Linked DNA regions of Cricetulus griseus. The protein of the gene in region 1 binds, or shares a complex with, the protein of each later gene. Links are inferred from orthologs where the notes say so. Each region holds a gene or a part of one and is shown in the gene's direction. Other genes may lie near its edges.

Region 1 (3,944 bases):
CCTAGGCCTGGGCATGGAAGGATGGACTCTAGTGTTTAACAACTGCTCATTTACCAGCAAGGAAGCTAAGGCCTGCAGAAAGGAAAGACATGCCCACTGGCACAGGAGTCATCACAGGGTCGCAAACACAGCTTGGCTAGGAACTTACACGAGCCCTAAAGGCATCCATTACCACAGAGACTTGTTCATGTGTCTATTGCGCTTTCTTTATAAAAACACATTCTTTCGTTCTTTGTCAAACGTTTTCTCGGGTTAGGAAGAAATCCTTCCAAATACATTCCCTCATGAAAAGGAAGGAGAGCACAGATCAAAGGGAAAGCTAGAGGAAAATAAGGAAGTGGTAGGGAGGAAGTGCACATGGATAGAGCCAAGACTTCCCCCTCCACGATTCCTGCTTGGTTACTGATGGTCCCCACCTCGGGTTGTCCAAGGCCCCGTGCTCATTTCGCTCTGTTTCCCACGCTTCTTCACACAAGCCCACACATTTTGCAAACCCCTGCTTGGCTGCAGGCGCCGGGCATGCTCAAATGCCCTGGACTGCCTTTCCCTTCTCGCTGGCAACTTTGGCAACCGTCCCACCCACACCCCTAAGGGACAGGTATGCACTGATGCCCGCAGTGGGGTCTCAAGAAGGGGAAATGGGGATGGCACTGGACTCTGGCTGAAGAGGCGTGCAAGCGAGCGCGCGCTGAGGGGTTGGGGGGGGGGAGACCTCGGGGGCACGCGCAGGGAGCACCCGGGGCGGCGATCACGCGGGCGCGCGGCCGTCGGAGGGGGCGCTGTCCGAGGGCACGTGCGCGGGAGGCCCGGCGGGCGGGCGGGTGCGCGCACTGGGAGTGGTCGCGGGGCGGGCAGGGGCGGGGCCGCGGCGGCGCGCGGACGCGGAGCTCGCCCGGGCTGGGAGCTGCTGCGGCTCGGCCAGCACCGGCAGCGGCGGCGGCGGCGGCGGCAGCGGCGGCGGCAGGTGCGGATCCCGGAGCGTGGCCGGCGGGGACGGCCGCCCGAGGCGGCGGCGTGCGGGCTCGCAGACCTCGCCTCCGGCTCGCGGGAGCTGAGAACATAGCAGGGCCGCCTCCGGGCCAGCGTCTCCCCGCGCTGCCAGCCGGCCCCGGCGCCGAGGGCGCGGCGACGCTCGGCCACCATGGGCTGCACCCTGAGCGCCGAGGATAAGGCGGCCGTGGAGCGCAGCAAGATGATCGACCGCAACCTCCGGGAGGACGGGGAGAAGGCGGCGCGGGAGGTCAAGCTGCTGCTGCTGGGTGAGCGGCGCCCCGGGGACGGGGCCCGGGCCGGGGGACAGCGGGGAGCGAGCGCAGCATCCCAGCCCCTGCGCAGCGCAGGCTGCTGCTCGGCCACGGCGGTGATGGTCGCGCGACCCCACGGGCAGCCCAGAGCGTGGCTGGGCGGCGGAAGGCGTGGGAACCCTGTCTGTGAAGTTGAGGTCCGCCTTCCCTAGATGAGGGACGATTGGGAACCCGAAAGCCAGGCGCCCCCTCTCCACAGACACCCCGCGGTGCGAGGTGTCGTGCCGCGCTGGCCTTTGCCCACGCCGGCAAAGTGCCTTCTTGGGTGGCCTCGGGGAGCCTTTTGTGTGGCCTCTGTGGGGTCTCAGTGGTCTCGCCTGTCAACTTCATATGTCCACTCACTGAGTGGCAAAGAGCGCCCAGCAGATTCTCCTGCGCAAGGACAAGAGCTGCTCTGGATACTGGGTTTTGCCTGGGTGGGGGATGGAAACTACCAAAGTTGGCTTACGTTGGCTCCCATAGTAGGAGCCGAAGATGCTTCGCGGGTGCAAACAGCCCTGACAGGTGTGAGGGGCTCATCCTCCCCTCCGGGGTCCTCTCTTAACCGCAGCGCTTGCTCCAGGGAGGGTTGACAGGAGCAAGGCAGGCTTTTTTAGTCATTCTTAACACTGTTTTGCTGAACGCTGATGTGGAGGTCTTTCTTCCAATTTTTTTTTTTTTTTTGAACGGGAGAAAAGGAGTAAATCTGGATTTTGATTGAGTGATATATTAGGAAAATATTCACAGGTTATGACTTTCAGATTTGTGAATCAGGCTTTCCTTTTGTTTGTTTTCCTCCCACACTCTAGGTATTTAGGTAGATGACAGATTTCTTAGAATCTTTGTTTGCACTTCCAGCGATGGCTTGTCTTTTTCTAATAGTTGTGATAGAAGAGAGACAGTAAGGCACAAATCTGCTTTTTAGTAAGCTCCTGTTTCATTGGTTTAACGACTGCAGGAACATGGTGGTTATCTCCTTCTTTCTCCTTTACTAGTAGGCTTAGAAGAAGCAAACTTGGCATGACTAAAAGTAATAACGATCTGAGTCATTTTGCAAGCAAACTGTGAAATAACTTAGCATTTTAAAGAGCTGGGTGGTATTTTTTCACCCTCCACAGCCTCCCCCATAAATCTTTCTCTGTAAATAGGATTGACCTGAGTTTTTGTATTAAAAAGATACTGTGTTTTCATAAGGTCAGTGTGTTTTTAAGAATATTGACCACAGAAGAAAGACAACTTGATACCGAACCATGTAGAGAGCCCCGTTGGGTGACTTAGAATAAACATGAAATAAAATAATTAGAGGATTCTTTTCCTGTGGTTTCAGTGCACCTGCTCTGAATATCTTAGTGGACTGCAGTGTAGTTCTTCGTTGGAGCTGCTATCCACCATATTGAAAGCAGTTGTAAATGAGCTCCCTTTGGTGTGGCTTATCTTTAAGTAGACAGCTATGAAAGGTTTGCGAAGTCGGATTTTTGCTTCTTCAGGGTTCAGAGAGCATGGTATCTCTTCTTAGCATTGTTGACATTTTGAGCTTGATAATTCTTGGTCGTTCCGGGTGTACTGTGTGCTGTAGGCTGTCAAGCAATGTTGTTGCCTTCCTACCATTAGATGCTAATGGCTTCCCCACGGTTCTAATCTCCCACCCTGCTCCCACACGCCCCCTGGAGGCAGACATGCAGAGTGAGATGTGGCTGAGAACCACAGAGTTGAGTGTGTAACATAGACGGTTGATCTCTCTAATCCTCTATAGAGAGGTAATGAGAAATGTACCAGAGTCCCGATTTTCAGAAACTATGCCATTCTTATTCCTCCAAACCAATGCATTAGAGGTATTCGAAAATGATAAAAACAAACAGACAAACAAAAGGCAAATCGGTTCCTTAAGTGTTGTTTCTAGCTTTGAGTATTTGCTTTCCCCCACAACTGTCTCTTCTCTCTACAATTCCAGTGCATCCCTTTCTTCTCGCTCACTTCTACCCTTCTACTTCTAGACTTTACCAAGACTTCTGACACACTAGTCCCTATTAAACAACAACAACAACAACAAATCTGGTGTACTTATTTCACAACTCTTATTTCTTATAATACTTGATATATCTTCCCCTGCTTGCCCCCATCAGAATTAAGTAGTGAATTCTGACCTTTGATCCACTTTGGATATTTCAGGCTTTGTGCAAGTAGCTCCATGGCATTGCTCATCTAACATCTAACATGTGGAAGCTGGTTAAGAGAGATGTAAAATGTATCTAGGTAACCTGTAACCAATGCCACTTCAATTTTTTTAGAGGGATTTTTCCCCAACAATTTACTTTAAATACTTAAAGCATAAAAAAATTTAATAGTCTGTCTGTCTGGTTACATTTCATTTTTTTTTCATGGAAGAATACACTGTTTAAAACATCTGAAGTTAGAGTTTTGAATGAGATTTGGAAATGATTAGTAATTATTTGAGTGCTGGATGTCTAATATTTACTATATAAATTATAGGTATTCCACTGTTCCTTAAATACAGTGAATTAGGCTTAAGCAAATAGGGAGAACCAAGTCTGGTCTACTGACCTGAAGGGGATCAGGTTGGAGTTTGGTTCATTTAGTCTTTCACTTTTCTTTTTAATCCCGTAGCATTTGAATCAGTTAAGAGTCTTGCACAAATGACTG
Region 2 (3,226 bases), on another chromosome or scaffold:
CTCCCCTCTGTCAGCTTCTTCTCTGGTCTTGTGAGACAAGGTGCTTCGTCCCACTGTTGGGTTCTGCTTTAGGTTTTACTTGTAGGCTTCCCAACACCACACACCACAGCAGAGCTCAGGGCCAGTAGACACCCCTCTTCTCAGGCTGGCAGAGGGGACAGAGACCCAGGGCACCAAGCAGCATAGGCACAGGAGCCGGTCTGGAGCCAGTGCTCTCTGTCAGTCTTGACAGAGGGCTTCTCTTTAAAACAGCAGCAGCAAAACAGACGTGTCAAAGATTCCCTTAATTCTGGTGACTGCCTTGTGTTTTTTTTTTTTTTTTTTTTAAAGTGTCATCATGGTACTTATTGCTCAGCTTTTCCATGTTTACTGCTGCTCACTCTTTTATATGGAATTTTACTGCCATAATTCTTAGATTTCCAATTTAGCACTTGAAATTTCCTTGATCCTAAATTCATGACCAAGGAAAAAATTTAAACAACTCAAATGTGTGCCGAAGGAGTAGCTAGCTAAACTGCATTAGTACATTGGGAAACTGAAGAATACCGAATCAACACTTTGGAAAACTGTGGCGTAACCATCAGATGCCCCATGAAACCCAGACATGGAAAAACAGGTGACTATACACTGCTAAGGAGATGTTACTCTTACTGGGTTCAACACACACTGGACGCCCAATTTAAAATTTCTTATCTGAAGCTGCTTGAGTCCCCCCCCACCCCCCACCAATCACACTCCTGAAAGAAGGGACAACTACTGCTGAGCTGCACCCACAGCCCCTTTAAACTTGACTTTTGCTTTTCATTTTGAGAAAGGGTCTCACAGAGATGCCCAGCTGCCCTCAAACTCATCAGTCTCCAGAGTAGCTGCATCACAGCTACGCACAACTACGTTTGTCTTTCTTCTTCTTTTTCATTTTAGTTATGAGCACTATTTGTTTTTCATTTTCTTTCTTAAGAAAGAGTAACTTTCAGTTCCTACAGAGCCCAAGATTATTTCTCACACTCGTCAGGCTCACACAAATCAGATACTGTGGTGAGTTCATACTCCACTCCATGTGCCACTGATTTCATTTCCTGGCAGTGATACGAATTTTGGAAGAAGAAGAAGAAGAAGAAGAAAAGCTCAACCTAAATTCAACCTAAAAGGCAAGTTTAATGCCTGTCTAAAATGTGGGTACTTTACATGATTTTATTCTTAACCACACAGTGATTCAGAAAAGGGGGGATTTCTGCCTAAAGTTAGTGTACTTCTCTTAAAAAAAAAAATGCAGTTGACCTATTTAGATGGTTCTGTTTCCTTTGCCAGGGTTTTGACAAAGCCACTAACTGTGAAAGTAAACACAAAATTTTTTTCCTCAGTTTATTCCAGTTGAGATTTACATGCTGAAAAATTTTAAAGTAGACGTATAAATGACTGAGTAGCTGAGTTAAATAGTTTTAGCTAAACAGTCCCTACTTGATTTCTTCCTAGTGACTCTGACCCCTGCTGGATACAGAAATGGCTAGCAATTTTACTACGGCCCTGGCAACTTCTCAGGGCAACAACTGTGACCTCTATGCACACCACAACACAGCCAGGATATTAATGCCTTTGCACTACAGCCTCGTCTTCATCATTGGTCTGGTGGGAAACCTGTTGGCCTTGGTTGTCATTGTTCAAAACAGAAAGAAAATCAACTCAACCACTCTCTATTCAATGAACTTGGTGATTTCCGACATCCTGTTTACCACAGCTTTACCCACTCGGATAGCCTACTATGCGCTGGGTTTTGACTGGAGGGTCGGTGATGCCCTGTGCCGGATAACTGCCCTGCTGTTCTACATAAACACGTATGCCGGCGTCAACTTCATGACCTGCCTGAGCGTAGACCGCTTCTTTGCCGTGGTGCACCCTCTGCGCTACAACAAGATTAAAAGGATCGAATACGCAAAGGGCGTTTGCATATCTGTCTGGATTCTAGTATTTGCTCAAACCCTGCCTCTGCTCATCAGACCTATGTCAAAGCAGGAGGCCAGCAGGACGACCTGCATGGAGTACCCGAACTTCGAAGAGACAGCTTCCCTCCCCTGGATTCTCCTTGGAGCATGCCTGCTTGGCTACGCGCTGCCCCTCACAGTCATTCTCGTCTGCTACTCGCGGATCTGCTGCAAGCTCTTCAAGACGGCCAAACAAAACCCACTGACTGACAAGTCTGGTGTGAACAGAAAGGCTCTCAACACCATTATCCTCATCATTGTTGTGTTCATTCTCTGCTTCACACCTTACCACATATCCATCATCCAACACATGGTTAAGAAGCTGTGCTCCCGCGGTGCCCTGGCGTGCGGCCCGAGGCACTCCTTCCAGGTCTCTCTGCACGTCACAGTGTGCCTCATGAACTTCAACTGCTGCATGGATCCTTTCATATACTTGTTTGCGTGCAAAGGGTACAAGAGGAAGGTCATGAAGATGCTGAAACGGCAGGTCAGCGTGTCCCTCTCCAGTGCCGTGAGGTCAGCCCCTGAAGAAAACTCGCGAGAAATGACGGAGTCCCAGGTGATGATTCACTCCAAGGCTTCCAATGGAAGGTGAAAGATCGCGGCACCGGACTTCACAGCACAGCAACCCGCTTGGTGGCTCTGCAGACCCACTGTTCAGTTCCCAACAAGGATTCCTCTCAGGTGCCCCCTCTTGGCACGACCCCCACCCCCCCACCCCCCCACCTGATGCACTGAGATCCGGACCAGCTCAAGAGAACGGCAAAAGCAAGTTCTACTTCATAAATGAGATGCTGTGTGTTTAAAGAAGGCTGTCTTGATAAGTCTCGAGGCAAAGAGTTGTTCTGTGTTCCTGAGAACACAACCATTACAATTTCTGCCAATAGTTTGGCAAGAGATAAAAGGCTGATTCCACTATACATTACCAGTGTAAAAAAAATGTTAATACTGTAATATAGGGAACATATGTCTTAATTTACATCTCTTTCAAATTTAGATTTTACCTCCCTAGTTTTTATCTGTATGTCTGTTTTGTTCTGAGACAACTGTTTAAGGAATATTTTGTGGGATAAAAAACAGGATGTAACTAAAGTGTTAATATACTACTGCCCACTGCCAGCAGAAGTGACAGGCATGATTGACAAGAGGTGGATCTGAAAAGCAGGAAGTGCTAGGAATGACCGAGTAACTGAAAGCGTCACCCTCTTCCCCCCATAACCAGGGCAGCACTTGTGGACCACTGCTCA
Region 3 (2,782 bases), on another chromosome or scaffold:
TAGAAGTCAGAATAGAGCAGATCTCCAGGGAGTGGGTAGAGCCGCAGCACCCCCACCCCACCCCCTTTCGGGTTTGAGAGGAAATACTGCTCAATTACTGACCTGCCTCTCTCTGGCCATGTGACCCACGCTGGTGTAACAGTTTCCCACCAACCAGGTTCCTTACAGTTTTGGACTCCCCCGCCCTTTTCTGCTAGGGCTGCAGCAATTGCTAAAAGTCCGTTGGCCTCTTGCGCCAGGAACCCCACGAGGAGCCCTCTATCAGCAGCCAGGCCAGGCCAGCCAGTTTACCGTGTGCAGTCAGTCAGGGGAAAAGCAGAGCTGGGGCTTGCATTTGAGGAGCAGGTGTCGGGTAAGGCAGAGGCTGGAGGATGGCTGTCGAAACAAGAAAGTAATGACCCAGATGTTGAGGGTGGGCGGGGAGACGGGGAGGAACCTCGGACCTGGGAATGAAGAAGGAATGATGGAGAGAATTTGAGTTAGCAAAGGTTACCAACCAAGTGAGAACCTGGGTAGAGGTGGAGTTCTGTTTCCAGCTAAAAACACCAGGCTCAGGAGACGCTTGCGCTCTCTCTGGGCTTCGGTGAATGTGTGTCTGAAATCTGGGAGGAACAGGCCACAAAGCAAGGTGCTGGCTAAGTCTTCCTCTTTGGCTACCCTAGCTTCCCCCTTTTTGGTAGGATCCCCAGCACTGGTGCAGAGGAGAACCAGGTGAAAGAGACCTTCAAGTCGGCCCAAGGAGGTAAGGTGCTGAGGCGGGGTGGGGTGGGGTGGGCACCTGGAGCTGAGGAGAGCCAGCCCAGGGTTGGCAGGGCATGCCTTCTGGAAGTTTCTCCCCCCCCTCAAGACACACCTCCCGTCCTTTCCTAGTTTCTATGCCTGCCTCCTTCTCCCACCAGGCTTTGCCACCAGGCTTTGGCTCTCAGCCACAGCCAGCTGTGAGAAAGGGACCTGACCACAGCTACTTCCTATTATCTGTGACGCTAAATAGGAAAAGGGCCGCGGAAAGCGGAGGGGGAATTCCCGTGGGAAGTCGAGTTGGTCTCCCCCAGAGACACAGGATGGCAAACGTAATAACTGCGGCTTAATATCCCGCCCAAGGCTAAGTCAATAATTGCTCTGGGCAGTTCTGGCAGGTGGCTCTGGCAAGCCGTGGTGAGGCGCAGACAGCTTTGGCCTGGGGACCAAAGAGGATGTGAGCAAGTCCGAGCCAGACAGAGGAAGGAGCTTCTGCAGGCTGCGAGTGAAGGTGGGCAGTTCCTGACCCCTTTCCCATCCTCTTCCAGGATGACCCCAGACTGGCACAGCTCCTTGATTCTCACCGCCTACATTCTCATCTTTCTCACTGGGCTCCCTGCCAACCTGCTGGCCCTGCGGGCCTTCGTGAGCCGGGTCCGCCAGCCCCAGCCGGCTCCCGTGCACATCCTCCTGCTTAATCTGACCCTGGCCGACTTGCTCCTGTTGCTGCTGCTGCCCTTCCGCATTGTGGAAGCGGCGTCTAACTTTCGCTGGTACCTGCCAAAGATCGTGTGCGCGCTCACAGGCTTCGGCTTCTACAGCAGCATCTACTGCAGCACGTGGCTGCTGGCCGGCATCAGCGTGGAGCGGTACCTGGGAGTGGCCTTCCCCGTGCAGTACAAGCTCTCCCGCCGGCCCCTGTATGGCGTGATTGCTGCCCTGGTGGCCTGGATCATGTCCTTCGGCCACTGTACCATCGTCATCATCGTACAGTACCTGAACTCAACCGAGCCGGTGGGCGACGGCAACCAAGTAACGTGCTATGAGAATTTCACCCAAAAGCAGCTGGATATAGTGCTGCCTGTGCGGCTGGAGCTGTGCCTGGTCCTCTTCTTCGTCCCCATGGCAGTCACCGTCTTCTGCTACTGGCGCTTCGTGTGGATTATGCTCACGCAGCCCCACGTAGGGGTTCAGAGGAGACGCCGGGCAGTAGGCCTGGCTGTGGTGACGCTTCTTAACTTTCTGGTGTGCTTCGGACCTTACAACTTGTCCCACCTGGTGGGGTTCTACTTGCGGCAGAGCCCCCCGTGGCGGGTGGAGGCTGTGGTGTTCAGCTCCCTCAATGCCAGCCTGGACCCGCTGCTCTTCTATTTCTCCTCCTCCGTGGTGCGCAGAGCGTTCGGGAAAGGTTGGCTACTGTTGCGCAACCCCGGCTCCTCGCTGCTGGCCAGAGGAGCTAAAGAGACCGTGGAGGGGACCAGGATGGACAGGGGTGGGAGTCAAACAGAGGTGGTGCCCAGCTCTGATTTCGTCACTGAGTAGAGAGAGTTGGGCCTCATCTTCCTTAGCCTCCGGGTCACCCAGAATTCTGTTGGGCTGGCTAGCAGAACACCTGGAACTCGGTGGAAGATTAAAAAAATAAAATAAACAAGAAACCCCGCCCCGCCACCCTCTTCAGCTTGCATAACTGCTTGGCTGGATTTTCCTGCTCCAGGATACGAGAAGAAATGGCTACAGCCCTAAAAGACGGTGGGGCCAGGGTCTCAGAAGCAAGGTGGCTAACAGGAGGGCAGTTTTATAAGCAATCGTCCTTCGAGCTTGGAAGCACCGCCCAGAGACAGTGGTCTGGCTGGCCACGCTGCACAGAAGCCTATGGAAAAAGATTGGGGGGGAAGCTGTAGGAAGAAAAGAAACCCCAGAAAGGCTCCTCTGAGCCGCCACGGGTGGGACTAGTAGGAAGGACAGGGGCTCCGATCTCTGGTGAGCTTGGTCTCTCTATAGGCGTTTGAGCTGTCCCTTTGTAATGAGCTCTGTTGATTGTCAC

Evidence for each region.
Region 2: the proteins of Gnai1 (region 1) and Gpr183 are in contact, whole or in part, in a cryo-EM structure (PDB 7TUZ), measured with the Homo sapiens proteins. The link is inferred for Cricetulus griseus from reciprocal best matches to the Homo sapiens genes GNAI1 and GPR183. Residues at the interface, in NP_002060.4 of Homo sapiens: Arg24, Glu28, Arg32, Glu318, Tyr320, Phe334, Asp337, Ala338, Thr340, Asp341, Ile344, Asn347, Leu348, Asp350, Cys351, Gly352, Leu353, Phe354; in NP_004942.1 of Homo sapiens: Asn64, Thr66, Arg129, Ala132, Val133, Pro136, Leu137, Asn140, Lys141, Arg144, Ile219, Lys222, Leu223, Thr226, Asn230, Pro231, Leu232, Thr233, Ser236, Val238, Lys241, Ala242, Thr245, Ile246, Ile249, Ala311, Cys312, Lys313.
Region 3: the proteins of Gnai1 (region 1) and Ffar2 are in contact, whole or in part, in a cryo-EM structure (PDB 9NS9), measured with the Homo sapiens proteins. The link is inferred for Cricetulus griseus from reciprocal best matches to the Homo sapiens genes GNAI1 and FFAR2. Residues at the interface, in NP_002060.4 of Homo sapiens: Glu28, Ala31, Arg32, Glu33, Val34, Asp193, Leu194, Phe336, Thr340, Asp341, Ile343, Ile344, Lys345, Asn347, Leu348, Asp350, Cys351, Gly352, Leu353, Phe354; in NP_001357016.1 of Homo sapiens: Gln40, Ala42, Val44, His45, Glu106, Arg107, Gly110, Val111, Pro114, Val115, Tyr117, Lys118, Leu119, Ser120, Arg121, Arg122, Phe202, Met206, Gln209, Pro210, Leu211, Val212, Arg216, Arg219, Ala220, Leu223, Ala224, Phe273, Ser276, Ser277.

Annotation. Positions count from the first base shown.
Region 1 is NW_023276806.1:175,872,790-175,876,733, forward strand, and holds the start of Gnai1 (guanine nucleotide-binding protein G(i) subunit alpha-1), read left to right. Parts: upstream 1-1,141; coding exon 1,142-1,259; intron 1,260-3,944. UniProt on the Homo sapiens protein: Guanine nucleotide-binding proteins (G proteins) function as transducers downstream of G protein-coupled receptors (GPCRs) in numerous signaling cascades.
Region 2 is NW_023276807.1:271,866,195-271,869,420, reverse strand, and holds Gpr183 (G-protein coupled receptor 183), read left to right. Parts: upstream 1-1,476; 5' UTR 1,477-1,500; coding exon 1,501-2,574; 3' UTR 2,575-2,724; downstream 2,725-3,226. UniProt on the Homo sapiens protein: G-protein coupled receptor expressed in lymphocytes that acts as a chemotactic receptor for B-cells, T-cells, splenic dendritic cells, monocytes/macrophages and astrocytes.
Region 3 is NC_048602.1:4,970,101-4,972,882, forward strand, and holds Ffar2 (free fatty acid receptor 2), read left to right. Parts: upstream 1-1,287; coding exon 1,288-2,280; downstream 2,281-2,782. UniProt on the Homo sapiens protein: G protein-coupled receptor that is activated by a major product of dietary fiber digestion, the short chain fatty acids (SCFAs), and that plays a role in the regulation of whole-body energy homeostasis and in intestinal immunity.